Linked DNA regions of Oreochromis niloticus. The protein of the gene in region 1 interacts with the protein of each later gene in a pairwise test. Links are inferred from orthologs where the notes say so. Each region holds a gene or a part of one and is shown in the gene's direction. Other genes may lie near its edges. The genes, in order: sav1, hax1 and serine/threonine-protein kinase 4.

Region 1 (10,769 bases):
TTTCTTTTTCCTCTGTTAGTTATGTGAGTGGTCTTTTCTGTGTTTGCAGGTCCGTCAGCTTGATGCTACCATACTGTCCCTGAAGCAGCACAAACATCAGAGTCAGTCCTCCCTGATGAAGGCCTTGGAACAGGAAAACTTCTCTCTTAAAAAGGAGCTTGAAGCACAAAGGGAGCTTACCATGGTGTGCATTCATGCTGCTGACTATAACCAAAGAATGTTCCGATTATATAAAATCAGAAATTCTTATTGCATGTGCTTTTCATTCAGGGCTGTGAAGGTGGACAAAGACGCACTGAGCTGGAGAGCCTTCAGCAAGAAAACGAGGCGCTCAAGGCTCAGCTGGCTCGACTAACAACACAGCTGCTTGAGGTACTCCAGCTTTTTTCTTTAAAGCTTTCTTTGGATAGACCAGTTTAACAAGAAAGCACAATAATTTAAACAATATTTGTTCCTATTTACAGACTTTTCAGGCACAATTCATGGGACTCCTGCCTCCATCACCTCACAGGATGCCCAGAGGACAGCACCGTGGTGACGATCCAGACAACATGCAGGTACAGTGCAATTCAGAACTTCCACAATGGCAAACCTGACCAAATATATAACCGTTTACCTCTTAAGTAAGCTTGGATATAATAAATAAGTACTGCATTAGTACATTTATAGATTGCCGTTCTTTTCTCACACTTATTTTTTTCGATCACATTGCACTTTTTTCCCTCTTTTGTTCTTAATATTAAATTAATCTTTGAAGCCTGTGCACCACTTCTCATGCTGGTTCACTTTATAATGGGAGTTGATACATAGACCTTTGACACAGCAGCTTCAGTTTGCCATGAAATCGTAGTTAAACGCAGGTTTTTCTAATTAATGTAGGTTCTGTTCTGTGTATTGAGTGTCTTCATTAATGTGGTTAGAAGCACCTGTGTTTACCACCTCCTTATTTCCCTGACTGCTGTTACTTGCTCCGATATTAAATAATGTACAGCATTTTCATATTGTACTTGTGGCTGTAAATGTCAGTGAAAAACTGGACATCACTAACATTTTCAACATCATAGCAAAAAAAAGTGTAACCTGAGCTGTGTCCTCCATTCCTCGTCTGAGTTTTCCGCTCCTTTCTTTTTCTTTTATTTATTAAAGCTGGGTTTGCTGTGTTTTTGTTTTTGTTTTTGTTTTTATACCTGTCGTAGATCCATTTGTGCACCCATCTGTCTTCATCTCCTTTTGTCATATCTGTAGAGTTTACCTTCATGGGTCTGGTGTTTTAGCTTGTGGCACCTATTTTTTTTTATTTTGTTTTGTTTGTTTCTGAATTCATTGTCTTTTATTTTCAACCTTGAATGCTGGTTGAAATAGGCTGAAGTAGTTGCCATGGTGTGATCATCTGGGTGTGGTGGCTGATTTATTTATTTATTTATTATTTTTTTCCTTTTTTCACGTTTTCTCCCACAATCTGCATAAATCTTCATTTCCCGAAAAATACAAGTTGTCCTTTTATACTTATCATATGTGTAAGTGGCATCTTCCACCTTCATCTATCATCACCAGGTTGCCATTAACACAGTGGACTTTGTTAGCAACAAAAACATTATGCACAACATCTGCAGAAAACTCCATTGCTAGTTTACTTGCAGATTAAGTTTTTCTTCTTTTTAGTAATTGCTGACTTAGTCCTAGTTTGCCCACATCTTTGTTCAGCACTTCATCAGTGACGATCAGTTAATAATTGACGTTTGAGATCCCTGTATGTATGATTAGTCCTGCTGTTCATGCTGGCTTATACAACTGTCCAAATCCACAGTGCTTAAACAGTGGACTATAAATTTGAAAACGAAAAACTAGAGAGATGTTTTCTTAGCCAGTATGAACAGGAGGAATGCTGACATCCTGCAGATTGATTAATCTGCATTCATATTAGAATTTCTAGTTTGTCTATCTTCATTTATTCAATAGTCTACACACATCTCAGGCATAAAAAGCCCATCTTTAGAATTAGAGGGTAGAGCCCTGGTGAAGTGTACCTGCCTTTTCTCTCCAGGGGGCGATGCCGGAGCAGCGGGCGGCACACGCAGACAGCTGCCGGCGGATCGGTGGATTGTAACGCCAGCGTCATTTCCTGCTCTTCGCTTTACAGACTGCTTACATTCTGCTCTCCCTCTGTATCCGGAGTAAAAATCTGAATGTGGCACATGAAGCCCCACATTTGTGGTGCCAGAGATAAATGGCATGACGTTGTAGTTGTATTTCATTGCTGCTAGGTGGCAGGGAAACACAGAAAAGGCTCCTGGCTTGTTTTCCAAATGGGATTTTGATCACATTAATACTTGCATTGACAGTTGATAGACTGTATGTTTTCTAAAAAGAATAAATAAATAAATAAAAATGTAACATCACTGAGCTTATATAGACTGGAAAGAGGTAGGACCAGACCTTTGGTGGATTCATTATACATCCTGGTCGCAGTGAATCTTTTCGATGCAGGGTTTACTTTCTGGGAATGACTGTTATGCACTTGTGTCTTTTTAAAACTTTAAAGGGTTTATGACAGGGTATGTATCCTCGGAGGAAAAATCCTGTCATCAAGGGCCAAGGTTAGTGCCTGACAGCCTTTTGAGTCTTTTTCTAACAATCAAACCATTCCCACCTGTTGTTGCCAGGTGATGCTACCTGATGCTATTTGTGTGCAGTCAGGGTTCATGGAGATTGTTCAATGAAGATACCAAGTTTTTAGTCCTCTACTGTCCTCTACTGTATATTTGTGTTCTGGGCCTCTTTTGTTGCTGCTGAGCACCCAAAGTGAATCACATCTTTTTGTTTTTCTTAAGCAAGGACTGATCAAACATGTTTGGTAATTAATTTTCAATGTTTGGCTGGTATTTATTAAATCTTTGTGAGGTTGGTAGTTTGTCTTTAGTACAGCGTGTCATTATGTCCGTGTTTTGGGTTTTTTAATCATTTAGTGCATTTTTGTTCTTCCTATGATGCACATCTGTTTTATTTATTTTATTTATTTTTTTCATGTTTAGAGTTTGTTTTATTTATTCATTAATTAATATTTTTTGTAGCTATATCTGGAATATAAGTCATAATTTTATACTTGTATTTATTTTTCTAGTGAATCATCCTCTTTAGAAATGTAACAGAAATCCATTAATAAAGAATAAAGCAACTAGCTCACAAGAAATGGTGTCTGACTCATCTCACGCTCACATTTGCAATTGTTTTGTTTTTATTATATTTTTTTTTCACCCACTCAGAAGCTGAACTCATTTTATATGGTAGTCTTGCATCAGCAGCAGTTTGACAATGTCCTTGACTGTCTTCTCCCCAGGATGAAAGGGAGACGAAGATGAAGCGCATGGAGGAACGAATGAAGGAAATAGAGTTGTCTCTGCATAATGTCAAGCTGCTGCTCAAAGAGAAAGTTGCTCAACTCAAAGACCAGGTCAGTTCAGTTTCAGTTCAATGGCTTCCACTAATTTTATTTTATTTATTTTTTTATTTTTTTGTAAGGTGTTGTACAAAGCTGGACTGCCATTTCAACAAAAATCTACTATACATTAGCTAATTTGGTAACAATGACAACGCAACACAACCTGTGGGAGAAGATAGACAAAATTTAATATTATTCAATAATGAAACATACTTGGTGCATAATGGGAGGTTCCCCAGCAGTCTGAGCCTGTATCAACATGGGATGGTTCAGGGTCATCTGCAAACTATAAGCTTAATCAAAAATTAACTATTTTTAAAGTAGAGAAGGGCATCTGTCACCTGTAACTTGGAACTCTTTCCACAGGAGAAGAGGCCTGATGAGATCTGATGGGGTCTCATTGTTAGTTTATATGTTAGGAGGAACATTTGGTACAGTTTGATAGTGATTGCAGGAGTCCAGCCAAGAATTAAAAACTGTATGAATTCATTTTTCCACATCACTCCGAGATGCTTGGCAATTCCACAGAGATAAAATAAAAAAAACTCAGAATTTATCATTAGAAAGGTTATGTTGTTAATTTAAACTATACCCATATTGTGTTTTCTGTCGTAGATAACTCCATTTAGTCTTCATAGCAATGGAAATGTATCCAGTAAAAATACTACCTAAGAGAAATGGTATGGGTCCTGGTACAAAACCTTGTGGAACTCCATAACTAAAACCCCTTTTTTTTTTTTTTTTTTTTTCGAACAATTTGAAATTATTCAAAACATTGCCATGTAATGTAACCCATTACAATCAATTATCTACTTTGACTTTTCTAGCTGCACAAGAATGGCAAAGCGGACGTACTAATCAAAGATCTGTATGTGGAGAATGCCCAGCTGCTGAAGGCTCTGGAGATAACTGAGCAACGTCAGAAAATCGCGGAGAAGAAGAACTACCTGCTGGAGGAGAAGATCTCCAGCCTCAATAAGATAGTGTGTGACCTAAACCCGTCACATCTTCCGCTGCCGTACCATTATAAATGATCACAAGGGATTAACTTGAAATGTGTGTCAAAGTCAATATTTGCACTGTATCTTTACTAAATACTTTTATTTTATTATATTTATCACTGCTGCAAACTTTATGCAGCAGATTCTGCCAATTCATGAGAACTGGTGGTTTTATGTTAAATATGCAGTATTTTTGTCCATTTAATTCTAACCAGTAATTAATGGGACCCATAAATAATTAAATATGAGGTCAAACTGCAAAGAAGACATGACTTTTTACAGTTATTTATATTTTTAAAGCACTATTACCTATTAGTAAATATCTTACCTTTAAACTTGCTCTCTGTCCAAAGAGAGGAAAAACAATTATGAAGTGTACTTTTTATACAAGTGTTCTGTGTTTGAACTGTCCAAAAGTTGTTTCTCTAGCCCTATTGTAAAAGAATAAATAGAAACCTGTCGTTCGGTAGTAAAATCATGCAAACTGAGAAGTCAAATCATGTTTTACCTAACACTACTTGAAATTGAAAAGACTTTAAATGTCTATCAAGTGGCAATATTTTACATGTCATTTTACTTTTAAAGGAAATTGTATGATCTGTTGCAATATGTAAAGGTGTACAGGCTATGTGATTATGGTTGTTCTGGCTTGAAAGAAAGTACCTTGTTATTGTAATTAATTGTAATCTGCATTTATTGCAGAGTAAGCATTAGAGTTAAGACAGGGTAATGGCTGTGCTACAGATATAAATAAAATGAATGGATTGTGTTTGGTGGTTTGTAAGTTATGGCTTTTTTTCATTGGACATACACATGATAACAATAAATGTGATTCAAGCAAAATCAACATATTTAAAATTCATGCCAACCATCCATGGCAGGAATGTCAAACTTATTTTACATTGTGGTCCAACATCCAGCTAAAGCTGTGGCCTAATAACATGTTAGAAGATGCCTCTTAATTATTCCCCTTTCTTTCAGTGTAAAAAAGTTCAGATAAATATTAAACAACTGAGATGTCTTAACAAAAAAAAGTGTATTTTCAACAGTACGTCTCACTCTTTGCTGACAAATTTCTTTATAATGTACATTCTTTAGGTTTATGTCTGAGTAAATGATTACAGCTACAGAAAAAAAAACACTGGCATCCCACACTTTATACTGTAAATAAAGTTGTTGGGGGTTTTTTTAACCTGTGGCTCCGATACAAAACAAAAATGTAAATAATGAAAGAAAACCATTTCATATCATTTATTCAGTACCTACTTTGGTGTATGAAAGGATAATGTGTTTTTAAGAGAAGCTGTAAAACTGGACAATACAGATAAAAAAAAATAATCTGCAATTTCCACAGTGTTTAAGCCATCTAGTGGGTCAGTATAGACCCTTGAGAAGCCTGTTCCAACCCCTGGGCCATTTAACATCCCTGACATACAGGTGTGACCAGAAATGTAGTCACTTTAGTCTAAACGATCAGTTAACTCTCTACGGCTTTAAAATGCTGCTCATGGTTTGCTGCTTTTGTTGTTTACATCCAAAGTTTGCACAAAACAGACATGCATTAAACAATCTGTATGAAAACGTGTATAAGTAAAGACAACAGAGATTTAGGAAAAATTTAACTGATATTTTCTAACTACAGTACAGTTTTTGAACACTGTAGTATAATAAATTTAAAGGTATAGGCTTAATTATTTATTGATTGCCATCCAACCTTCAAAAGTCTCTCATGTCAGTTTATTTCTAAATCAAATTTTCATATGTATCTGTTAATACTGTGTTTATGTCACCGAAGGGCCCCACGGTGGTTTTTGCTCCTCTCTCTCCTCCTTCAGATGGAAGGACTTCCCAGTAGTGGGACTGGATCCGCTGCAGCAGCACTGACGCTCCCTATGGCTTCAGTTAGCTGGCTAACTGCGGCTAGCTAATCCAAAGCTGCGGGGAAAAATGTTGACTTTCCGCGCTTTGCTAACTGGCCGGTATGGTTGCAAAGTCGAAGGATTGTGCCATGACTTTACCTCACCGTGCTGTTGATGTTTTCCGAGCCTTGAGTTATGCTCTCACGAAAGAAAAGTAAGAACGAAGCGTCCAAACCAGCCGAGGTACACGGGAAGTATGTGAAGAAGGAAACGTCGCCGCTCCTGAGAAGTAAGCGCAACAAGTGGTTAGCTTGTCAGCTAGCCCCGAATAGCATCACTCAGCTCGCTAGTTAAAGTTAAACACTGTTAAAGCTTAGTTGGCTAACATTAACAAGTAATGTAAAATTACTCTGTGGGAACATTTATACTTATTTTTAAAGCTCCCACGATTGTAAACAGCAGTTTAATGCTGTACAGTCTAACCAAACACAGCTACGATGATAGTTATTGTAGCTAAATGCTACATGAGCGCCAGTTGTAGTGTATAAAGTTATAAGATAATGCTTACAGCTCTAAATGACTCAGCTAAAGGCATATTATACTAGTAGATTAGTTTAGTTAAAAGTATTTTTTTAGTGTCTGTAATGACTTATGATTATTGTGATAGCTGCTGTTAGGTGTTTCTATTAGAGTATCTATAGAAGTATTATGAATGTTCACTGGAGTGAAAATAGCAGTATTTTGTAGAAATGGGGGTATTACTAAATTACCTTCTCGTGTAAAAGTTTTATTCGAGAGTCAGTAAACATTATAATTCAGGTATGAAAATTAAAAGTACGCGATTTGGCTCCTATTAGTAAAATATTCTGTTTTTATTATGGGTTTTTTGTTTTGTTTTGGTTTTTTCAAGTCATCAGGCATGAGCAGCTCCAAGATATTGTGTTGCCTTTTATTGACATTTGCTCTGCTGACCTGATTGCAGATCTTATGCCCTCCTTCATCCGTCATGGACCCACTATACCCAGACGCACAGAGGTCCCTCTGCCAGAAATGGTGCCTTCTTCCTACCCTTTGGCACCCAGCCGGGAACCTGTGGTGTCCCGTAACAAGAGTGTCCTCCGTACCCATGTGCAGAAGACTCCTCATGAGGTGGCCCGCACAGAGAGCCACCGCTTGTCTGCACCTCCGTACCTGCCTCGCAGTCTGGGAGACATTTCGCATGAGTATGGAGGCTCATCACAGTCCTTCCTTACAGACGTGAGTCCCATGTCTGAGAATGGAGATGCCCGGTATTATTACCCCTCTGAACCTTATTATGAAAACCAGCAACATCAACAGCAGCAGCAGCGCCAGCCAAGGAGAGTCCCAGACCGCTTTCCTGAAGACTATAGATACTACGAGCACAATGAGCACAACTTCCAAAGACATCCCCGACAACATACTCCCCCAGCTCCAAACAGACCCCCTTCAGGTAGATTTTACATTTCTTTGTGAAGCTCCCTTTTAACGCTGTTCATGTCTTTATTTATATATTTTAACGAATTTAAAGAGGTTTTGTGATAAAAGCAAGAAACACCTAGTTTCAGAAAGTTTATGACTGACATCCCATCAGCAACTTTTTAAAATTTCCCCTTGTAGACCTTTTTTTTTTTTTTTTTTTTTTTTTTTTTTTTCAAACCCTTGTTTCTTTGGTGTATGGCAAGATGTAGTAGTGTCAGTGGCTGTACTAATGTATAATTTCTGTTTTGAGTATTATGGATGGTTGTCCAACTACACAGAGGCCACTCTGAAAGGAATGCAGGCCACTAGTTGTCAAATTGAAAAGAGCAATTTCATTTCAGTCTTTATTTTACTGCTCTGTGTTGTAAACATTACTATGATGTAAGTGTAATTACATTGAGATGGGGGGGGGTTGGGGGCACGGGAATGCTTCTTGTCCTCCTCGTACCATAAAGACACTTTTATTTTGTGGCTGGCTTGTCAGTGTCATGTATACAGTTCAGTATTATGTCAGGCCTGCCGATCATGTAGCCTTGTTTGGAGTAAAGTCAAACAAGCATTAGAGGCTCTGCATTTTTCACCACTGTGTTTGCTGAAACTTTCTGCCAGCAAACTAGTAATTTGCACATTGCCCCCAGTCAAATGTCTCAGCCTCAAACTGCTCGCTAGCATGAATCATCCTTGTTACGTATGTGCTGATCTCTTTATGCTTGCATTTAAAACACAGTGAAGTTTGAGAGGGGTCACCCCTCAAACACTGGCAGACGTTTTTTCATTTTGATAACAGCATGTTTTTGTCCCGTAAATAGTACTTTTTAACAAGAAAATAATCAAATCAAAGCAGTTTGAAAATAACTCAGAAGTTAAATGTTGGTGCAGGGATTGACGTTATTTCTGAGTTGCGTGTGTTCAAGTAGTGAAGTCAGAAGAAAACAAGGGAAAGCATGATTTGTTTTGTTCTTTAACAAGGTAAAGTCATTCAAGCATCACTTTGAATATAGTGCAGTCTTTTTTTGTGCTTAAAAACAACGCTGTAGCATGTTTGTGCATGACGCCCAGTCAGTACAATGCCACTATATGTTATTACAGCGTGGCTCTGTGGTATAGTTGGTCACATTTGCTTTAAACTGAAATTATGGTTCAGTGGGGGTGGCATGCTGGCCCATCTACCTGCAGAGACCGTCTGTTGTTGGACAGTGTCCAAAGTATGTTGTACAACCGGTCTGTGGGCTACTCTTGCTTGTCCTTTTGTTGGTCCATCAGGCAGCCAGGTAGAAGCACAAGCTAGTGCCCAAGCCCAGATAAGGAGGGTTGTATCACACAAGCATCTGCTGGAAAATCTCAGCCAAATTGGGTATGAAGATCTTGTGTGGCAACCCCTTGGGAAATAAAAGAGAGTATATACTGTTTAAGTGGTGTCCTATACTATACTGAAGCCCCACACACCTGCTGTTTAAACCTCGTGTTTGCAAAGGGCAGCCAGTTAAAAGAAAGAGCGGTTAGTTCTGGATGAACTGAGGGGCTTTGTCAAGGCTTAACTCTTAATAGGGCACTCATTGAAATACTTGGAAATTCAAGTCAGGTTGTGCTGTTCTGTGACATGATTCTTTGACACAACAGCATTTTCCCTCTTTCTATAAACGACCTGATCAGACAGCTGCAAAAAAAAGGACAGAATGTTTTTGAGTCGATAAGTGTAGATTTACTGAAAACAAAAAATATTGACGAATAAATTGTACATATTTACTAAGAAGTGGAAAAATAGCATTATATGTACTGATTGTACCACTTTTTTTCTTATATGTAATTAAGTCAAAGATAAATAAAAAAACAAATAGTGAATTATTAAATCAATTTTAGTAGAAAAAAGTCTCACAGTAAAAATAAACAACTATATATGACTTTTAAGTATAATATAAAACGGAGGAAATCACATTTCATAATTCTAAACTTGAAAATGTGTACAAGTGTTTTAACCTTCTCAATGGATCACTGTTTAATGTTATACAATGCTGTGGCATTATCCAGTGTACTATCAAACTTAAAGTCCTACATTATAACGTGCTATTTCTTAAATAGCATGTTCTGGGCCACTGCAGATTTATCAGATGTCACTGTCTGTCACATAGCTTGATCTTTCCTGATTGGTTGGGAGAAAGTTCCACACCTCACAGACATATGTGGTTCCTCACCTGATAAAAGCGGTTGATATGAGACAATTTAGGCTTATTTTGAACTCGTGCAAAAAGCTGCTGAGCTACTAGAGTCCAGGTGTAAAACAGAAATGGGCATAAGTTGTCCCTCTGCAAACCCTGAAAGGGTGAGCCTGGTATAGTTAATCATGTTATTTTCTTGTGTGTGATTGATGTTTTCATAAATGATCCCAGTTTCTCTCTCTCTCTCTCTCTCTCTTCTTTCCATGTTTTCAGTGGTGTTTTCCCTAACGTGATGTTATCAGTCTACCCACTTTGTTTCATTCAGCCCAGCCATTAGCTCACAAGCATGATTGTAAAATTTGCTGCTTCTCACTGTAATCTAAGAAATTCCTGTGATGTTTTGAGCTTTAGGTCTGCTGTGAGCATTTTTTTTCTGAAGGAAAGGGCAGACATGATGATCATGATGATGAGATGGGGGTGGTGTAGGAGGAGGAGTGCATTTCTGTGGAGCTCTCACACATTCCTTCCCTTCATTCAGCAGCTGGCAAAGAGCTCCACCTCTGTTGCTGTCACTCTAGCGTAGAATTTATCAGATTGTAGCCGCCATTTCGCTGAGATCCTTTAGCGTTCCCCTGTATTTGGAATTCTTGGTTTCTGCAAGCTCATTTGCTTTGAGTCATGGCACTTCTCGCTCATCCACATCCACACAGCTGTCGACTTGACATTCCTCGCTGACGTTATTCTCCAATAAAAGTACAGGACCCGCTGCGTGAACCCTCTCTGCTGTCGGCTCTTACAGCCATTTGTTCTGGCC
Region 2 (9,683 bases), on another chromosome or scaffold:
GATACAACGGATGACATCGGTCACTCTCAAAAGGGAAATCTGTCTCTTGCAGAAAGGGAAAATTTCTGCAAGAGTTGTGATAGATTTAATTAATTAATTATTTGTTCTGGATTTAACAACCCTTCATTACCTTGTGAGTGTACGAAGCAAGAAATGCTGCATTTAACGAGCTTCTCGTTAAACATGGAACTTGTCAGTGTAAAAGTGTTTGGACACTCAGGATTTTAACACATTTCTGTGAAGCTTCCACACAACACAGGGCTGAAATGAGTGCTTTCAGATTAACAGTCTCGTGAGGTTGAGCGTCTCTCTAGCTGACAGTTTCATTAGCAGCTTAAAAGGAAAACAAAAGTTTAAAAATCCATCACTTGTGTTATCTGCAGAAGAAAATGACAGAAGTATTTAATATCACTTGTATACAAGATTCTTCTGCTTTCCAGCAGTGCCAAGACTTCTGAGAAACTTATCTTTAACAGAAGTCAGTGAATGAATGATTGAAGAGAGGAACTAAGAGATGTATTTTATTTTTATTAGCCTGTTAATTTTTTTTTATTTTTTTTTGACAAGTACAATTTACAAAATGGTGAAAATGCACATCTGATTACTAAAGTTGTGTCTTCAGAATAGGGATGTACTGTACTGTATTGAGTGTTACTGTTTTGGGGACATAAAATGGGGAAAATGGAAAAAAATAATAATAAAATGGACAGAAACAAATATCTCTTATCCTTTGTTGGGCAAATTGTCATCTTGTTTTTTCTGATCAGATGTCAAAAATCCAAAATCATTAATTATATTTTCATACAAGACAGCAAAAGCAAAGAAGCACATGATTGTCACCATTTATATTTGGGTAATTTTCTTTGAAAATGTTTGAAAAAATAAATCATCTGGAATTAGAAAACTGGGACGGGACTAGCATTTTGTTTAATATCCAGAGTCTCTTCTTTTTTGGTAAGCTGATATCATATAGGGTTAAAAAGGAAGTGTCAGAGCAAACCAGAGCAGCAGCCACCAGATACAGTCAGACCCAAACCTGAAACATATTCAGCTACACCATCTTTCTCTGATTCCTCTTCCTGTTCATCTCATCCTTCCTCACCACCTCAGTCTCTTTGCCGTCGTCACTAAAGGGAAATTCTGCTGAAATCATCTATGGACTCGTGCTCACATAGATGTTCACACTTGGAATTTCCCAGTATTCTGTTATTATTTGGATTTTTTTTCCCCCCTCATAGATAATGTCTATACATTAATTTCCTTGTTGTCCATCGACCCAGTAGCATCTGTGCTGGTTAGAATCGGAGCGTAACCACGTGGGTGGTTGCAGTAACATATTCGGTTTAACAGTTAATGAGCTCAGTTTGTGTCGTTTCCCCCTCTCTGCAGGAGTCTCTGTGACATCAAGCAACACGGGAGTACCAGATATTTCAGGGTCTGTTTACACAAAGACGCAGGTAACTACAGAATAGAACAGAAATATTTACTCACAGGATATGCTTTTGCTTGTCTTGTAGCAGCAAACAAACAAACAAAAAAACGTTATAGTGGCCAAACTGATTATTTTTCTTCCTGGTCCCCTGCAGTCGTTTGAGAAGCAGGGCTTCCACGCCGGGACGCCAGCTGCATCATTCAGCCTGCCCTCTGCGCTGGGCAGCGGGGGCCCCATCAACCCTCCTGCCGCTGCCGGCTACGCTCCAGCTCCATTCATGCATATCCTGACACCACACCAACAACCCCACTCTCAGATTCTGCACCACCACCTGCAGCAAGACGGACAGGTGCAGTGTATATATAAATGCTTACATATTTGAGGTCATGCGATTTTTAGAAACAAGCGGAGCAAAGGCATTATTCGTTGACAAGGAAACTCCACCCAGTGAGTCAAATAGTAATGATCAACAGTCTGAATGAGCTCAAAAATGCATAGACTTGAAAGTAAATGATGGAAGTGTGTCGACACCAGTTCCCCGAGCGGTGACCAATGTAGCGACAGCTTTAGAGCCTGAGATCGGGTCGGCTTTAAGGTTGAAAAACGGCATCCTTCACTGTCTCAGTCACCAGTGTCTAAACGGCGACAAAAATTTATGGTCAACGCTGAAAAATGAGTGGGCGACATCACTGTAGCTCCATCTTTTATATTCAGGCTGTTAACTAGTCGACAACTTCCAGTCTTTTTGATAAAGCACGTTCAAAATAAATGAAGTAGCACTCGAGCATCGTGCAGTCAGACTGTTATAAGTAGTAATACAAATCTAGTGAATTGCCTTTAAAAGATTTGTTGGCAAGTTCATTAAGTGTTTGTGGTTTCACCGTGACATTAGCTGTGCTGCTTTTAGGTAAACACATGGCACGAAGCGGCAGCTCACTGATGAACTTTGTGACTCTCCTCCACAGAGCGGCACTGGACAGCGCAGCCAGAACGCCTCCATCCAACAGAAGTCTCAGATCAACAAGTCGGCGTACAACAGCTACAGCTGGGGGGCAAACTAACATCCACTCACGGGACCCCACCCCCCGCAGTGTCAAAAAGCTGGGAGGGGTGGGAGGCTCTTCACTCCTTCGGCAAATAAGTCTCCACATATAAATCCCCGCTTCCTCCTGCAGAGATTTCCCTCCAGTCTCTTGGCCCAGCACTCCCACAGCTCTGACCGCGGTCAGAGGAGGTGCTGTGCCGAGAGAACGAGCACTGTTAATGATGCATGGATGGATGGGTGGGAGGGACAGGAGGGGCTTTAAAAGTGAGGGGAGATTGGAGATAAATGGTGATAGAAGCAAACCATCAAGAGGGTGAAATACTAAGTGTTGGGAATTTGTATCGTATTAATCTTCCCGCCCCTTGCCCCCCCATTTTTTTTCTTTCACTTGTAACATAGAACTGTTTTTCTAAATGAACGTTTCCTGTATGGTCTTTTTTTTTTTTTTTTTTTTGTCTTTTCCCACTTTTTTTCCCACTGAAGGGGAGGAATGAAGTAATCTCTAAAAGGGGGTGGGGGCAGGCTGGTTTTGTATTTCAGACCCTCAACTCCCCCGTTCCTTAATTTTGATGGAAATTCTTCCCTCCTGAACCATTTCCAAACACAATAATTTGCCGTTGACTTTTCATGTTTTGGGGGTTTTTTTGTTTTGTTTTGGGGTTTTTTTTTTTTTAATGTCATTTTAAGTTTGCAGAAACAATTCTATAAATTGGTAGAGTTGTGAAGTTTATTTTTTACCGAATATAGATATATTATATATAAAGACATATAAGCAAGCTCACTGGCTTTGACTGTGAGGAAAAAGTGTGTTTGTCATGTGACTGCGTGCATGTTTGTACACACGGGGGGGCCATGGTTGCGTACTGTGCTTGGGTTTTTGTTTTGTTTTTGGTTTTTTTGCCTAGCACAGGATTTATTTTTGTTTTTTCATTATCCAACACTTGTACAGTAACTTTTCCCATTAATTATAAATATTTCATAAGGCCCCTCTTATTTTGAAAGATGAGAATGATTTCCAAGGCCAATACACACCCAGTCTGCCTTCCAGTGTGAATAACTTTGTTTCTGAGGCCCTCCCTGCCCCGCCACCTGTCCCCCCAACATTGTAAGGAAATCTGCGGCATTGAATACTGATGGACAGAATTGTACTATGGGTTTTTTCTTTTCTTTTTTCTTTTTTTTTTTTTTTTTTTTTTTTGTCAGTGATTTTTTTTTTTCTTTTTGTACTGTGCGTTTTAAAAAAAAAAAGTTTAAATGGATAAACTTGTCTTGTACATATATAAAAAAAAAACACAAGTACTGTAGTCCCTGTTTGTTCGATGGCTTTCTTCTTTTCCTTCTTAAATCCTTGCAGACTTGTTAGCTTTTTTGTTTTTGTTTTTTTTATTTTGTAAAAATATATAAATATTAAGTAAATAAACAAGAAAAAGACATTTTCATCATTTTGGATGTGAATGTCTTTTTAAGAAACTACGTTTCTCATGTGGCTTTTAAATACTTGAACATACATGATACAGTTCGTGGATGACATGTTGGGTAGAACTAAAACCTCTGGAGGCTTTCCAGTTGGTTTCTGTTTGTGGGCTGAGTCATAATAAACTCCAGGATGTCGAGTACCAAATGAAACTCCAAACTTATAACTACATCACACATTTTCTGGCCATGTAATGTACGGTATTGGTTGGTATTGGTTCTTTATTTTGTTTTTGTACATTTTAACCTCCATCTGTCTTGGATACACGTTAGCATTTTATGTTTCTCCATGATATATTTTCTACCCCCCTAGATATGCATCTTGGCACCTTTCTAGTAGGCAAATGAGAGACAGAACTGTACTTTTAAATGCCAGTAAATGCTTCCCAAAGGTGCTGTGTTGGATTGAGGTCTTTTACTGTATTAAACGCAGCTAAATTTGATTTTACTGGCTGAGGCTTCAGACTGCTCTAAACACTTGGTCTCTATTAGGTTTCTTGTGCCAAGCTCATGTCAGCTTAGTATGATTTTTTTTTTTTTTTTTTTTTTTCTATATGTGATTACACCTTGCAAGCACTAGGTTCTGTTTTTAGAAGCCAAGTGAGTTGCAGCCAATCAGAAGACATTGGGCTCTCAATGAGTGGGCTTGAAAAGGGTCATTTCAGGTAGTGGATGAAGTGAGACGTAGCAGAAATTGGATTTCTTAAACTCTGAATCATGCAAAGCTTCTGTATTTGGAGCATCAGAATAAAAAAATACTAAAAGCTGTAGATGTTCTCTCTAAATGAGCTCTGATCCTATTTGGCATAACTGTACTATACTCTCATTTCATGAGATATATATGAGCCATACACTTACCAGTTACGCCTTGCTAGCAGCAGATTGTACTTTTTTTTTTTTTTTCCTCTTCATAACTGCTTAAATTTTTTCATGGCACTGGAAACATTCCTCAGAGATTTTGGTCCCCGTTGACGTGATAGCATCACACAGCTGCAGAAGATATGTCAGCTGCACATCCATGATGTGAATCTTCCACTCCATCCCAAAGGTGCTCCATCGGATTGAGATCTGGCGACCGTGGAGGCTGATTTAAAAACTCATTGTCATGTTCAAGAAGCCAGTTTAAGGTGCTTGATCTGTGTGACTTGGCCTGTTATCCTGTTGGAAGCAGCAATCAGAAGTTGTCAGCAACAATACTCAAAAAGGCTGTGGAGTTTAAATTGTACTAAGGAGACCAAAGTGTGCCAACCACCGATACAAAATGGTGCCAAGCTTTTTGTTAATACCAAATTCTCACCCTACCATCCAAATATCACAGTTGAAATGGAGACTTATTAGAAAGGCAACTTTTATTCAATCTTCTGTTGTCCAATTTTTGTCGACTCCGTGCAAACTGTAGTCTAATTCTGGTGTACCCTTCAAGGTTCAAGGTGGTTGACCATACTGCCAATCAATCAATCAATCAATCAAACCTTTATTTGTCACATGCAAGTTTTCACCTGCAGTGAAATTGGACCCCCCCCCGACCATACATACATAAGACAGGTCGGAGACAGGTAGTAATTGGAAGAACACTGAAATGTACAATACAATGGGCAAATGGAGGAATGAAAAAAAGAGACCTCATACTGGGTTCCTTGTGGGAGGTCAGCATGAGAACAGAAAACAAAAAAAACTCCTCTGCACAGAGAGCACATACATCTTGACATCACAACACCATGAAGCACATGACAAGCAAGGTGAGAAGTGAGCCGATGTAGACACAGCCATCTTGCCAGCCCCGGGCATAGACCCGCCGTCTGTTACCTGAATCTCAACAGTGCGCTTTTATTTCGAGTGCCCATTTTATCTATTATTTACGGTAAAATAACATTACGACAGATTGCGTCATGATGAATCGTCTAGAACGCTTTACGACACTGTTGACAGCTGTAGTACATCTTGGCGAGTTTCTCCAGTGGATGTCCGCTGCTTGCACATTTTAAGTTATGGTTTAAGTGTCCACCAAAGCTGCAGTTAAATGAGTGTTTTTGATTTATTCCGCGGGTTCTTCGGGGTACCCGGAGGCCATTATCGTGGCCGGAGGTGAGTTTATGGCGTCGAAGTACGCAGCTGTACACTCGGCTAAGCTAGCTGAACTTAGTACACTTTCTGTTGCGTGCAGCTATGTCAGGGACAAGATTAGTATTTTCTGCCAGGAAAACCACAGGGGTCCTTCAGCTAGATTTATTTAGGTGTTATTTATGCTCACGGAGTTAATACGATTGAGTACTTTGAGGTCTGTTTGCTGGCGGCATGTTATAACGCAGTTTCTAAACCAAAGGGAGATTTCAAAGCTTGTACATTTGTGTTACTTCGTCTGTCAGGGACCCTTTCTTCGATGCCATGACTCATGACGATGATGACGATGAAGATGATGAAGATGGATTCCACTATGATGGGTTCAGTGGGGAGCAGCAGGACCCCTTTGACAGCGCCTGGAGGTTTGGCTTCAGTTTTGGCCCGGACGGGATGCGGATTCAGGACCCCCCGATGTTTGGCCACGTCCTCAGGGAGATGGAGGAGATATTCTCCCAGCTGGGTCGTTGGGAGGGACATCCAGAGGCTGGACACTTTGGTATGAAAACAGACCCACATGTTTTCATGTCGCTTGTTTTTAATGAAATGTAAAAAAACCCCAAAAAAACAAGTAAAAAAGTGTCAGTAAAGATGTATGGTGTACAATTCTTTCACCCTGGAAAAAGAAATAATTAAAAGCGCAAAATTAATCATGACATCCATGCCCATGAAGACTCAAATTCTAACCACAACTCGACATGTTCCTCTGCTCTGTGTTTAACCTGTTTGCTCTTTTGCCCTCTTTGTGTTTTAGATGTTCCCCACATCATGCCACCACCACCGTCTCAGGACAGAGCAGAGAGAGGGCAAGCAAGCTCCAGTGGAAACCCTCTGAGAGACTTTATGCTCAAATATCCTGACAGTGACACACAACAACGATCCAGAGAGCCCCGAGGTGATCACCGACCTTCTTACGAGTCACCTGAATTTCATGGCCGGACCCCTTTTTCCAGGGTAAAGGAGATATTCACTCCTCCCTCTTTGTTTCTGTTGCGACACAAGCTATTGTATATTCACTGAGATTTTTGTATTGTGTGTTTAAAAGTTTAATGATATTTGGAGACACAAAACTCCAGAGGAGGAGCACAAAGGTGACAGAGGTGGGTGGTGATATTTACATTTTATTTGATAATTTAGTGGAAGCTCTTTTAGATTGTGTCAAATTTATTTTCTATTCCCATTCTGATCCTCCCAAGATCTGGACTCGGCTGTGTCCTCTGGTGGCTTGGATCAGATTTTGACACCACCTGCTGGTCAGGCACCAAACCAGCCCAGAACACGGTCTTTCTTTCAGTCTGTCACTGTCACTAAGGTGGTGAAGCCTGATGGGGTGAGTGTTTCTTAATTCTGTATTAATACATTCATAGTGATTCTTTTAATAGTTTTGTCTCAGTTTTGATGAGCATTTCGTTTGCGTGTGTCAGAGTGTAGAGGAGAGGCGTACGGTAAGAGACGGCCAAGGCAACGAGGAGACCACGGTGACTCGCTCGAGAGGTTCTGGGATTTCTGAGGGACCAGATCATGCGAATGGACCTGTGCTGCCAGGTCAGCTTGTCTCGGGTGTGTGTTCTTTGAATTGTTTATTCACACACACACAAAAAAAAAAGTATTTATTTTTGGTTTTCTTCCAGGTGATCCCCACCACTTCTCAGACTTGCGGGATGATGACTCATTATTCTCCAGGTTCTTTGGAGGCTTTAAATAAAATGTGAAGGAGTTAGTAGAGATGTGAGCTAGCATATTTATATTACATACCAATGTATGGACAAACAGTTTCATGGACTTCCTTTGCCAAAATGAATATGTTGGATAAAGTCTCGCTGGCTCATTTAAGATGAAACTGGAAGTCCAAACTGATCATGCAGGATCGAAGCTGCAGATCCTGAAAGCTATTGATGATGACACACTGAGACACATGAGACGCTGAACAATTCACGTTTCCATATTTTATTTTTGTATTGTCCTGTAGACAAGCCTGTGTGGATGTGAGTGAGTGAAGAATTAAATAAAGACTCTTAATATATGTACAAAGTTGTTTGGCTCATATTTTTGTTAGTAACGGTATCTTTAGTCTTCAGCTTCTACATTATCAAGAAAACGAAATCAACTGCACAATATACTTTTAAGCAAAACTTTAAAAAAAATGCTGGACGTATGATACAATTTAAAATTCATATTACTTTTAATTTGACACAAGGATCCATAAATGCTTCATTTTCTAGCAGCTATTTCATGGTTCAGGCTCTACAGGGCTACAAAGTTACAGGGTCACAGTCATTCTATACAGCTCATTTAAACCTCGAGTGAGACGGACGAGTGACGCTGCCCTTTCTCTTAATTTAAAGGAGCTTACACATTTAACCGTTTGTGTCAGTTTGTCCACACGATAAAGAAATGCTGTTATTTTAAATGAAAGAAGTCTGTAAATCCAACCAGTTGTGCTTAAATTATAATTAGTAAATGTGCAAAATTACCGAAACATCTGGTAGCTCATCGCCTGGACTGTCCCGTAATTATACAACAAAGTTTTTCTTAATTCAAAGAAAAAGTTGAATGTCATTTTTTTTACTGTGGGTCTGTTACAAAAACAGACATTTCTGTAGCAGATGGTGCTAAATTTAAACTTTTTTGACATTTCAATGTTTGTCAGTTACTAACTCCTGCTTTAAAGGGATCCTATTATAATAATCTCTGGCTCCATATGTCTAACCTTGACTATAGCAGAGTAGCATTTTTTTTTTCTGATACTGTACCTCAGTGCAGCCAGTGGAAAAAGTCATTTTTGGTTCATCTCTCTGGTGAAAATCTCAGAGGTTTGAAAAGCAGTTAGTTGGGCTTCTGTGTTCAAAGCCAGAGAGGGATATAAACTAAAGGTAATGTTTTAGGCTAAAAGGAATAAAATACAAATACAGATGCTTTTGTTTTTTTTTGTTTTTACATTTTAAAATTTTAATCAAGAGGAAAAAATGGACCGGCAAAACAAATGACAATAGTTTCTCTTTTTTCTAATCACACAGAATAAAACAACACATAAAGCAACTAACTGTATATTGAAAAATGATACATATGTAAGCAAATGAAATAAATGAAAAGAAAATTTATTGTATATGAGGGTTAAATCACAGTGACAGTGGGCAAAGAATTAAGAAAATCAGTGAAAGAATAGAAGTTAAAAACTGATAAACTGGGTTTTTTCTACTTTAAGAAATAACTTGGGGATTGATTGTGACATTTCGTGAAGAGCGGTGTAAAAGTCAGTATTTTGTGCTGCATAGAAAATACCTCGAGCGGAATAATAGGAACCCAAACATTTAGTTAGTTTTTAGCTCAGCATAGTTTTTAGTTACAATAACCTTGGAAGAGACATGAACAAACAAATGTTCATTTTTGAGTCTAAAAGGGTTTTGATATGAATTAAAAGTCTTCAGTGCAAATACTTCACTGTCAGCTGTCGATGCTTGTTTTTCATTTGAACTGAGATACCTAAACAGCGAATCCTTTGCCACTTTAATTTAGTAAACTTTGCTGTTTCCAGTCAAAACGATCTAAATTTAAAAAGATTGTGTAATAAATGTGAACGCATTACCAAGAGATCAGAATAATTGTGGCTTTGTA
Region 3 (10,342 bases), on another chromosome or scaffold:
TCGCTTTTACTCCACCGAAGTTTGTCCCTCCGCCATCCCGTCAGAATCTCTTCCGGTTGCAGCTGCAGTGCGTTAGCGGTTTCTGTGAAGGTCGTGAGTCCAACCTGTGAGTATCTGTCAAAACGGAAAACGTTTATATTTTTACACTGAATTTTGTATATAATATGTTGATTTTCAGATGACTGATATCTTCCGGGTTATTACAGTTTCTCGTACTGTCTCCTGCTTTCTTCTTTTTGTCGCGGGCCGGTTAGCTGTCATCGTGTACAGCTAAAGCTAACTCGGCGCTAACACAAAGCCTGTTACTCTTATAAACTGTAGTCCAACAATATACGCTAGTTTATGCAGGCTGTGTTGGTATAGCTTGTCCCACCAAGAGATAAAGAAATGGTCGTATTAGAAAGCAGTGGACTCGTTTTCAGTGTCGCGAGTTAGCTAACGCTATTCTGACCCTGCGCCGAAGCTAGTGGCATCAAGCCGATTTTACTTTCGTTAATAATCAAAATCAGCCTGTTCAAGCCCTTCGATAATGCATATAGTTATTATTTAAGTGTCTTTAAGTGTAAAAGAGGGCATACGTCAGAGTTAGTAATGGGACTAAAACACAGAGGTCACACCGTGTGACTCTGCAGCTGTGTGTAATGGCGATCCTCCACACACACACACACACACACCAACACACGGATTCATTTCATTCTGCTTGTTTTCAATATTTCATTGTTCTCTTGGATCCTGTATGTCGTATTGAGTTAATTCAGGTGAAGCCGGGTTTTGAGAACAGCAGGTTCATTTAGAGGTGACTGTTAACGACCTTCAGGCGATTTAGGACCCACCTGAGGCCATCCTCAGATGGGTGCTTTTACCTGCTTTTATTTATTAACTGGTGCCAAAGACGTGAGGAGGAAACATGACCATCAAAGAATCCAGGATTTAAATCTGCACCAAAAAAGATGGCGGTATAACTTCCAGCAGAATAAAGCTTTTATCACACCTTATTTGTAAAGCAGATATATCAAATGTTAGACTCGGGATCTTATTTATGTAGTTTTTATATTTTGGCGACTACCGAAATTAACTTAAGTCTATGAAATGATTCAGAATAAGTGCCTGAATAAGTGTCTACATGCATTTCAAGTTGACTGGTTAGTTGCAGGACTAACACATGTTTAAAAGATTAAAACTTTCCAGTGATGTTAAAAAAAATCAGGACTGAGATAAATGTGTTTTTTACACATTATGTTTAAGTAGGGTTAATATACTCATGTATGAAATGTATTTTTATTTATCAAATGTGAGAAATTCAAGGAAAATGTACCGATTTTGATGTAAATGATTTGATTAGTTGGTTATTATTAAGTTAATAAAATAGTGAGTTTAATTGTTGTCAGTTTTTAGGAAAAAAAGGTGTCTTATGGAAGATATTTTCAGATTTCAGTTTCTTGAGTGAGGAAATTTGCAGCCTTGGTTTGTCACCAACAAGGTTTCTGTTTTTTAATGGTCTAAAAATCCAAAAATGAGTTTCATAAATTAAAATCTTTGTTTTTTGTCTTAAAAATTGATCATGTTTATTTTATGAAGTTGCATTAGATTCAGTTTCTATTAAATGTGTTTCAGTGGAAAGGTAGAAAGAGATCATGCACTGATCAAAAGGTTGGTGGATCGATCCAAGGCAACCAGTCTGCATTCCAGATATCCTTGGGGCAAGATACTAACCTAAATTCCTCTCTGATGCATCCGTCAGAGTATGAATTTGTGTGAATGTTAGAAAGAACTGACATAGAAAAATAATTGGAAAAAGTGCTTGTGAATGGGTGAATAAGGCAGGTTGTATAAAGCACTTCGAGTGCTGAGAACAAAAAAGGACTATGTTAGAAGCCCATTTAGTCCATTTACCACAACAAAACTACAGAATACTGCAGTATCAGTATGTGTACAATTCCAACATACTTTGTGCACTTTCACCTTTGACCCCCTTGCTGAGCATGCAGCTGCAGCAGAGGATTGTGGGTCACAGTAGCCACCAAAGCATGCTGGCATGCATACATCAAAATAAATCCAAGTACAACAGGCATCCTGGTATTTTTAGTGTGCTGCAGTATTTGGATGTACTTAAACTTTGTCTGCAGGGCATTTAGTCTCATCCATGTTTTCTCCCATATTTCCTTCCACAGTCACTCTCTCTGTTGTCACTGCAGCTTTTATTGTCTCTATAAAAGCTTCCATGGTGATGATGGTAAAACATGGAAGCTATAAAATAACATGCGTCTTATTTTTATAACTCCACTTTTACCAAAACACACAATATGATTTGTATTCAGTGTATTTACATCAAGGCATTCTTCAAATTAGGTTGTTAAATTCAGCTTTTATTTTACACTAACCAGGAAATGATTGTTTTAAACAATTTAAAGTGAAATTATATAAAGACAGTACTTTCTTTTTCTTTTTCCCTGATATTTGTACAGAATTTAATAATTGGGGGAAATTAAAATTACATTTTGTGTATTTTTTTTCCTCTGCAGGTGATTCATCATGTCTCTGCCAAAGCCAATGATGAGGGGGCTGCTTGCAAAGCGACTGAGGTTTCACCTGCCCATTGCTTTCACTCTGGCTTTAACAGCTGCAATTGCATTCAAGGTGAGAGGACAACGCACACTCACGTGGCTACAGACACAACTCTGATGGTGATGCCAAGATATAAAATGACACAGCCGTGATGAAAGGAACACATCAAAGTTTCCTGTCAGTATCTGGATCCACTTACAGCTCAGCAGACAGCTGATTGGCTATTCTGTTGTCATCATATTTTATTCATTGTATTTATTTTCTAGTTAAACTTCTTTTTTTCAGATCAGTTTATAAGATGTGATGAAATGTTAGATTAAGCTGAAACCGTAGCTTCACTTCAAAGACATTAAGCTTTGGATGGTAACAAATAGATACAGAAATATAATATTTTTTTATTGTGACCAGTCTTACTCTGCTGCACAGTGAGCAGCCCACTTTCACTTTTAATACTTTGTGTCTCTCTGTTACTCTGTTATCTCTGCAATTATACTAATTTTACCTGCAGTAAGTTAAAGCTCTGTTATTGTTTTTGTTGTTATTCCCCACAGTACACGGTGACAGAGCCCAAGAAACGGGCCTATGCAGACTTCTACAAGCAGTACGATGCCGTCAAAGAGTTCAACGCCATGAGGGAAGCCGGGATCTTTGAGAGTGTGCAGCCCACTGGGAAGTAAAGCCACGGTGAGGGCCTCATCACTTGCCTTTAAATATTGTCATTTCAAACTTCGGTATCATATGCAGTGTAATATCTGATATGATGGTGTTTCTGACCATTAACGTTCTGCTTTCTTTTTTTTCTTTTCTTTTTTCTGAAGATGATATTCTTAATTTAAAACAGATCATGGAAACTTTCATTTAGGATATTTCGATTAGGCTCTTAATATTTTCTGATGATACAAGATGTGCAGGTTTTGAGAATTTATTGTTACTGCAGTTTGTGACAACTTTCTTGTTTATGGGCAGTTTCTGTGACTGAGCATGGCTGCATATTCAAAGGAAAAAGTTCACATCTGTGGTTGGAACAAGAGACACAGCTAGCTTTAAATATAGGAAAAGTGGATCTAATCAGGTTTATTGGCATGCAAACAAACATTACAGCAGCCATCTTTTCAAGAAAGTGTCTGAAGGCTGTCTGTGCATCGTTAAACAACTCTGCCATTGTTGGAAAGTATTTTGTATTAGGTGCTGTAGCAATTCTTCAAAAGCATGATGCAGATCCCAGACTTTTTTTTTTTGACAAGTTAAATCATTTAAAAATGTTTTTAAAAGTCTTTTTTCTTATTATTTTTTTTAACCACAGGCCTGATCCCTAATTGAATCCTAAACAAATGATAAATTCCATTATTCTGAAGAATTTCCACTTCACTCTTTAAGATGAGTGTTAAGTAAAGCAATGCATGAGTATCACAGTACATGGGGATGGAGCATTTCACAATATTGCAGATGTTTTTTTGGTTTTTTTGCAATCTCAGGTTTTGTTTTAGTAAAATTGTTATGTTTAAAAGACGAATGCAGCTTGGTGCCTGATGCTGAGGTGCTTTGAATTTGTGTGTTTTCTAAAGGCCAACAGGGGGCGCTTACTCTGATTGGAAAGAATTCAGATTGAAGAGAAGTGTTTAGAAAAAAGACCGTCGGCTCTGTGGAGTTTGTGGTCTCTGAATCGTTTAAAGTCTCATTTAATACAATATGATGGCTGTTTTTATGAATTATGGAGTCAGAAATGGATGATACAGCAAGGTTTTGCTTTAGGGCGGGGCTACCATATGATTGACAGCTTGCTGCCATGTGAGCTCACAGCATCACTCTGTTTCTCAGTCAGGTCTGCACCTCGCAGGCACATAAAGTTTCAAAACATCTGTGAGACGGTGACTTTACGAACCGATAGGCGATGTCATGGTGGCTGCATCCATCTTTTATATACAGCTTTTGTTTAATCTTAGACCTTTTTAATCTAAATCTAAATCTTTATGTAAACTGGAATAGTATTTTATTTTATACTAGCTCAGTAACAATAGTATTTTTTATTTAAACAAAATATAACAAAAAGTTTGTCGTGCTCATCAACTTGTTTACTGACGTATCAAACCACGTGCTTCTCTAATATTTGGTTGTTTCCTTCCTCCAGCTCTGCTTCCCTGTTGTTCATTCCTGGTCTAAAAGATGGTTCCTCTCCACCTCCACCTTGACGTTACCTACTGATCAGATGTAAACGTCGCTTTGCTGTTTTTGTTCATTGAAATAAACTATTCTATTAATGATAAAACATCTGCCTTTGTGATTTATTAAAAATAAGCTTTGAATCCCACTGAAGTGTTAGACAAAAACAACAATGGGGTTGGACTGGACTCAAATATTAATGAGTATCAAATGTATCTTTTGTATCTCTGTATTTATTATTGACTACCTCACTGTACTGTCAAATTTTCTCATCAGTTTGACATTTTTGAAAATGCTTTGACGTTTGAGGTGGAGCATCCAGTGTGGGCAGCACTGATGAGTTTGTCTACTGAAAATGCTCAAAGCTTGCAAAATCAAGTTCAAACTGAGGGTTATCCTATACAAGTTATTAAAACCTTCTAGGTTTTATCTGTCACTTTCAGAGATTAAAGTGTAGACATTAATGCTCACAAAGCAGGAGATGGATATGCATTATAAGTTATTAAAACATTTCCAAACTGAAGTGAGATGTATTACAAAGAAATTAAAGACTTGCTCTGTACAGAACAAGCCTGGTAGAGGCAGAGAGTGAAAGATTTCAAAGACTCTGGAAGAAAGAAAGCTAGTAATAAATGTTTCTAAAGCATTAAGGACTGAGTTAGGAATTGTAGCCTCCAACCAAATTTCCCCTTGTGGGACAATTGAAGGATTATTCTATTCTAGTCTCAAAGAAAACTATCACTAGACTTCACCTATAAATAAAATTGAACTGAACTGAATTGAAGAAAGAAAGATGTGTAAAGATTCTGAAAGAGAACCTCAGGCAGTCAGCAGTAAATCTGGGTGTAGGTCATTGCTCTGTTTTCCAACACAACAGCAACCCAAAACATGCTCTGCTCCAAACATGAAGAACCAAAGTTGGCACCGGCCACCTAGAAGATCAGTCTGACTTTACCTTTTCCAAGAAAACATTAAACAGCAGAAACAGCAACGCTGAACCAAACCAGTTCCTTTGCAGTTCTTTTCAGTTTCCAGAGAATGTTTGCTTGTTTTAGTTTAGGTTTTATCGTTTTAAAATTGTCTTACAATATAAAGCGGTGAGTGCTGATGTGATTTGACATTAAAAAAATAAAATAACATTGAATTGAATTAAATTAAATGGTAAATAAATTCACCAAAACTTCCTCACGCCAGTTGCTTTCAAAAGAGTTTACAAAAAAAAAACAGAATATGGTAACTTTATATAATATTAGTAACCCATGTTTTGGTTTTATAATGGTTTATTCGACATACTTGGACAGCTGTCGTTGGATGGATGGATTCTGTCTATCCGGTGCCCCCTGCTGGCCGCGTCCCTTACTGCAGTCTTTGTTTGCACCGCCTTCTACTACACTTCCTGGTTTTTTCAGGTGGATGTTACAGCGGCTGCCAAACGGTCTGTCAAACAAGTCTAAAGTTGGAGGACGGGGGAGGAGGATGAATTCAGTGATGAGAATACGGCAGCTGGAAGAAACCCGCAGTGTGTGTAGAGCCTGTATTGCAGAATGATGACCGGACGTTGTGTTTTTGGCGGATATCAGGCAGCAGCGGCGGCAGCGGGGAGGCTGCTGTGAGGCGGAGGAGCGGGCTAACTGTCCCTCTAGCTGCTGCTAGCCAGTTAGCGAGCGAGTTAGCATTAAGCGGTCTGCTACTGTTAGCATCGAGTGTCTTCTTTGAAACGTTGGCCAGCTCCCTCCGAGTTTGACTGCAGGCCAGAAGATCCAGAAGAGTCTGGGTCTCCTGAAGAGGACATCATGGACTACAAGGACAAAGTACAGATGAGGCATAACCCTCGCAGGTAAAGCTATGCTAAGAATGAAAACGGGCTTTTTGATTGCTGGCATCTCATTGATTTTATCAGTCTAACGGTAGCAGTCGGTGAAGTTTGTCAGTGGGGTGGCAATCTTCCGGCCAACTGGTATCTATTCAGTGAGGCTGTAGCATTACATAAGCGACTGTACGATAAAACAGACATTAAGGTAAAACGTCTTTAAAGCTTCACCGTGTCCCCTGTAGTCTTTTTATGGGTAACTTTAATGGGTCGTGCCGTCCTGTGTCTGCAGGGCATTCCATTTAGTTTATGTTTATGTCTTAAAAGAGTCTGTTCGTATATGTTGTTCTTTCACAATATCCAGAATTTGTAACAAGAAATCTAAAGTCAGTCTTATTATTCCTGTCAATCCAAACTTTTCTCACTTAAGAACTAGGAAGCAGAACATTTTTTCTCTTAATTGATTAAATAAATAGTGGCCTGTCAGTACCACGCAAGCCCAGCTCTTATTGCATTAACCAAGCCGCCTGTGTACACTTGATCTGCTGTGTCAAATCCCTGGGCTTGTCACTATCAAAGGCCCGGTGATCTAATTTAATGCCGTAAATCTCTTTGAAGATCTCGGATTATCTGCTTTAATCTCCAACAGGTTGTTACTGAATCAGCTCAGAGTCAATAAAACGCGCAGTAATTCTGACAGAAGAGCTGTGTGTGTGAAACTTCGTGCGAGTGTGTGGGGTGTCCACAGCACTGGGTTTGTGGCAGGTGGAAAGACAGGGGGTTAGAAAAAAAACCCCTTTTTAATGAAATGAGTGTGATTCATGTGGGACTTTGTTCCTGTGTGTGGATGCTGTGTCTCTGCACCTGTAGATCTTTTATTTACACTGCAGATAACCTGATTCAGATATGAAGTTGTGAAATCTGTGATATTGTAATTAGGCTTTTACAAGGAAGCAGAGATAAACTGTATATGTGAAAAATATGTAGACAGGAGTGGCTTAATGTCCTGTTCAGATTAAAGTTGTTTTAAAATAAGCGAACAATGGCTATTCTATGAGGTTCTAAAGTTTACATTAGTTTTTTTCGTTATGTGTTTGGTGCTATACACATAAAACCTGTACCAAATTCAGTAATTAAATGTTTTCCACCTACAGTGCTTTGGCAGGTACTGGCAATATTAAATAAGCTGTAAAATACCAACACACACACACACACACACACACACACACACATATACATACATGTATGTATATATATATATATGTATGTATGTATGTGTGTGTGTGTCATTCTTGAGATGAATAACAAAAGACAGGAAAGTCTTAGTTGCCTGATCAGTTATTCATGACCAATAAATAAACTCCATTATTATGATGTGTTTGCAGTTCACTCGTTTCCTGAGCAGTCCTTAAACGTAGTTCCACTTGGGTATTATTAAGGTATGGGAAGTTGGAGCCTCGATGTGATATTCTGGCTGTTTGAATCACAGTCTTAGTTTCTGTAGAATTACACTAATATAAAACACATAAAGAATTAACTGTTCAGCAGAAAGTGACTAAAATCAAACAAAAGTGCCACAAAGTTCTGATTCAAGTTTCTTAATGTGATTTATGCTCCTCTAAAGTATGTGTAGAATATTGAATATTTTAAGGATATAAATTATTTATTGTATGGAAAACATATTTCAGGATGCTCTTGTTTTGGCCTTACACATCTCTTTTCTTTACCTTTGTCCCTCTCTTGTGCCAAAGAAGTTCAGATTCACTCCCTATTAAGCTGTGGCGCATTTAGCGCAGGTTTTTTTAATTATAATTTAAGTTCAGAGTAAGCAATGGATCTTTTATTATTTAAAATGTAACAAATCTACAGTTTTTCTTAAGTCTGAGTAATCGTGTTAAATAGCATCAGCCAAAATAACTGATTGTTTTCCATTATTGAGCAGCCTTAGAGACATTTTCACCATAAACGCTAAAAAAACAAACCCCGATGTAAGTGGAAATGATCAGAATAATAAAAACTAAACAACAAACTCTTCATTAAAAATGCGTCCTGTTTTTTTTTTTCTCCTCGCTGTCATCACTGTATGTGGATGTTAAGCAGCTCATAACAGACGTGAACTTGTTTGTTGTGGGAACTGGTTTGTGAGCTCAGTGTGTTTGACAGTAGGAACTCAGAGGTTCCTATTATCTCCTCTTATCAGGAGGGTGCTGGTAAAACTCGCCGCTCTTATATTATCATTTTCAACTCACTCATCCACTGTTTCCTCATTGGGCTGATGTAACGCAGGACTTTTGTGTTTGTTTCATCCCTTGTTATTGCAAGACTGGGTTCGGCTTTGTGTTGAATTATAAAACCATGTTTGTATATCCTGATGTATTTCAGTGTCACCCTCGGGTGTGTGGGGGAGTCACAGTCATGATCTTTTATGAATAATTAAGTAAATACTTTTATGGGGCCCTCCTCTTCAAATACCTTAGTAAGCAAGTACTTTGTGCAGATCAGTAACAGGTTAATAAAATCCACTGTTGCTCTACTGAGTTTGTCGTCCTGTGGATGGACTGCACAGTCTTGCCCTGCAGCTGGTGATGATAGTCATCGTTCTGCTCTGTGAGCTCAGTGCGGTGGTACATGAGTCTGTTCTCTAACCCGGGACACGAGACCCTGTAGAAGCAGCTGAATGACACTAAGGTGTGTTACAATAACAACCTGCCGGGAGGAGGTCAAGAGACAGGAAGGACTTGGTTTGTTAGGAGTGATGGGTCTTTCAAAATAAGAGTGCGAGGATTTCCAAGTAAATTGACACTGGTATTTTCTTGAATGGATAAAAAGAGACTTGTAAACTTGGACTGGTGTTAACATACCTGGGTCACCTGCCCAGGTAAAGTCTGTATGTGAGAAACGCTGTACTTGCTTGATGTGAATTTGAGGAGCATTTTTGTAGACTGCATGAGTTGTTTTTGTTCAGTTTAGGATATAAAAAATTGTTTGGTATATTATTTTTAGGTTTTAATGTTCTTTTTACTTTATTTTCATCGTCTCCTAAATCAGATCACCTAAATCCATCCAGTCGTCTATTTTTTTTAGCTGCTTATCCAGTTGGCAGTTGCAGGGAGGCTGGTGGCTGGCAGACCACCCCAGCATCACTGGGCTTCCATAGAGAGACAATCATTCACACTCACAGTCCCACCTACAACAAATTTCGAATCATGGGGTAACCTAATATGCACGTCTGCAGGCGTGGAAAAGGAAATAGATTATAAATAAAGATTAGAACAATATTGGTCCATGCAGATGTAAACAGCTACAGTCCTGTTTCATTCCTGTGTTTCTGAGGACCTTGTGTCTAGTTAGAAGGAGAAGAGAAAATCATTTCCTTCTGTATGTTAGTTGGATTTAGCATTTATCCCATATAACAGACACATTTGGGCCTGATGTGTGTCTCAGTAAGAATACCAGCAAGTGTTTGTCTGAGACTGACGTGGCCCCAAACGACATGAGGCAGGCTGTATGTGACTTCCACCGAGCATCGGGTGGGCCACATGTGGTCTAAATGTCAAAACATACATTTGACATCTGGCACACATGAAGCAGACGTGTGACGGAGTTGTGGCTGACAGATGAGAGGAAACATTGGGCCAAATACATTCACCCCTGTTTAATGTTGCTTTGATAAATTTGATACACATTGAGTTTTAATTAAAAAAAAAAACAGTTTTAATTGTTTTTAAAGGTGTCTGTTATTCATGTTATTAATATGTAATGTCTGCTGCTTGTTAGCATCCTCTTATTTCTTGGGATACTTTATTA

The links.
Region 2: the proteins of sav1 (region 1) and hax1 interact in binary tests that used the Homo sapiens proteins (3 or more experiments, as listed by UniProt). The link is inferred for Oreochromis niloticus from reciprocal best matches to the Homo sapiens genes SAV1 and HAX1.
Region 3: the proteins of sav1 (region 1) and serine/threonine-protein kinase 4 interact in binary tests that used the Homo sapiens proteins (3 or more experiments, as listed by UniProt). The link is inferred for Oreochromis niloticus from reciprocal best matches to the Homo sapiens genes SAV1 and STK4.

What each region holds. Positions count from the first base shown.
Region 1 is NC_031983.2:21,072,839-21,083,607, forward strand, and holds the start of sav1 (protein salvador homolog 1), read left to right. Parts: upstream 1-6,250; 5' UTR 6,251-6,494; coding exon 6,495-6,588; intron 6,589-7,281; coding exon 7,282-7,770; intron 7,771-10,769. Other genes in the region: nin (ninein), read left to right, coding at 50-184, 271-372, 465-557, 3,338-3,451, 4,267-4,473. UniProt on the Homo sapiens protein: Regulator of STK3/MST2 and STK4/MST1 in the Hippo signaling pathway which plays a pivotal role in organ size control and tumor suppression by restricting proliferation and promoting apoptosis.
Region 2 is NC_031985.2:17,527,200-17,536,882, forward strand, and holds hax1 (HCLS1-associated protein X-1), read left to right. Parts: upstream 1-5,824; 5' UTR 5,825-5,970; coding exon 5,971-6,035; intron 6,036-6,316; coding exon 6,317-6,567; intron 6,568-6,822; coding exon 6,823-7,022; coding exon of another isoform or gene 7,023-7,041; intron 7,042-7,113; coding exon 7,114-7,168; intron 7,169-7,264; coding exon 7,265-7,398; intron 7,399-7,492; coding exon 7,493-7,628; intron 7,629-7,699; coding exon 7,700-7,773; 3' UTR 7,774-8,095; downstream 8,096-9,683. Other genes in the region: ubap2l (ubiquitin-associated protein 2-like), read left to right, coding at 1,390-1,457, 1,587-1,781, 2,398-2,493. UniProt on the Homo sapiens protein: Recruits the Arp2/3 complex to the cell cortex and regulates reorganization of the cortical actin cytoskeleton via its interaction with KCNC3 and the Arp2/3 complex. Slows down the rate of inactivation of KCNC3 channels. Promotes GNA13-mediated cell migration.
Region 3 is NC_031970.2:4,653,441-4,663,782, reverse strand, and holds the start of serine/threonine-protein kinase 4, read left to right. Parts: upstream 1-6,062; 5' UTR 6,063-6,518; coding exon 6,519-6,562; intron 6,563-10,342. Other genes in the region: cox6c (cytochrome c oxidase subunit 6C), read left to right, coding at 2,533-2,637, 3,117-3,242. UniProt on the Homo sapiens protein: Stress-activated, pro-apoptotic kinase which, following caspase-cleavage, enters the nucleus and induces chromatin condensation followed by internucleosomal DNA fragmentation.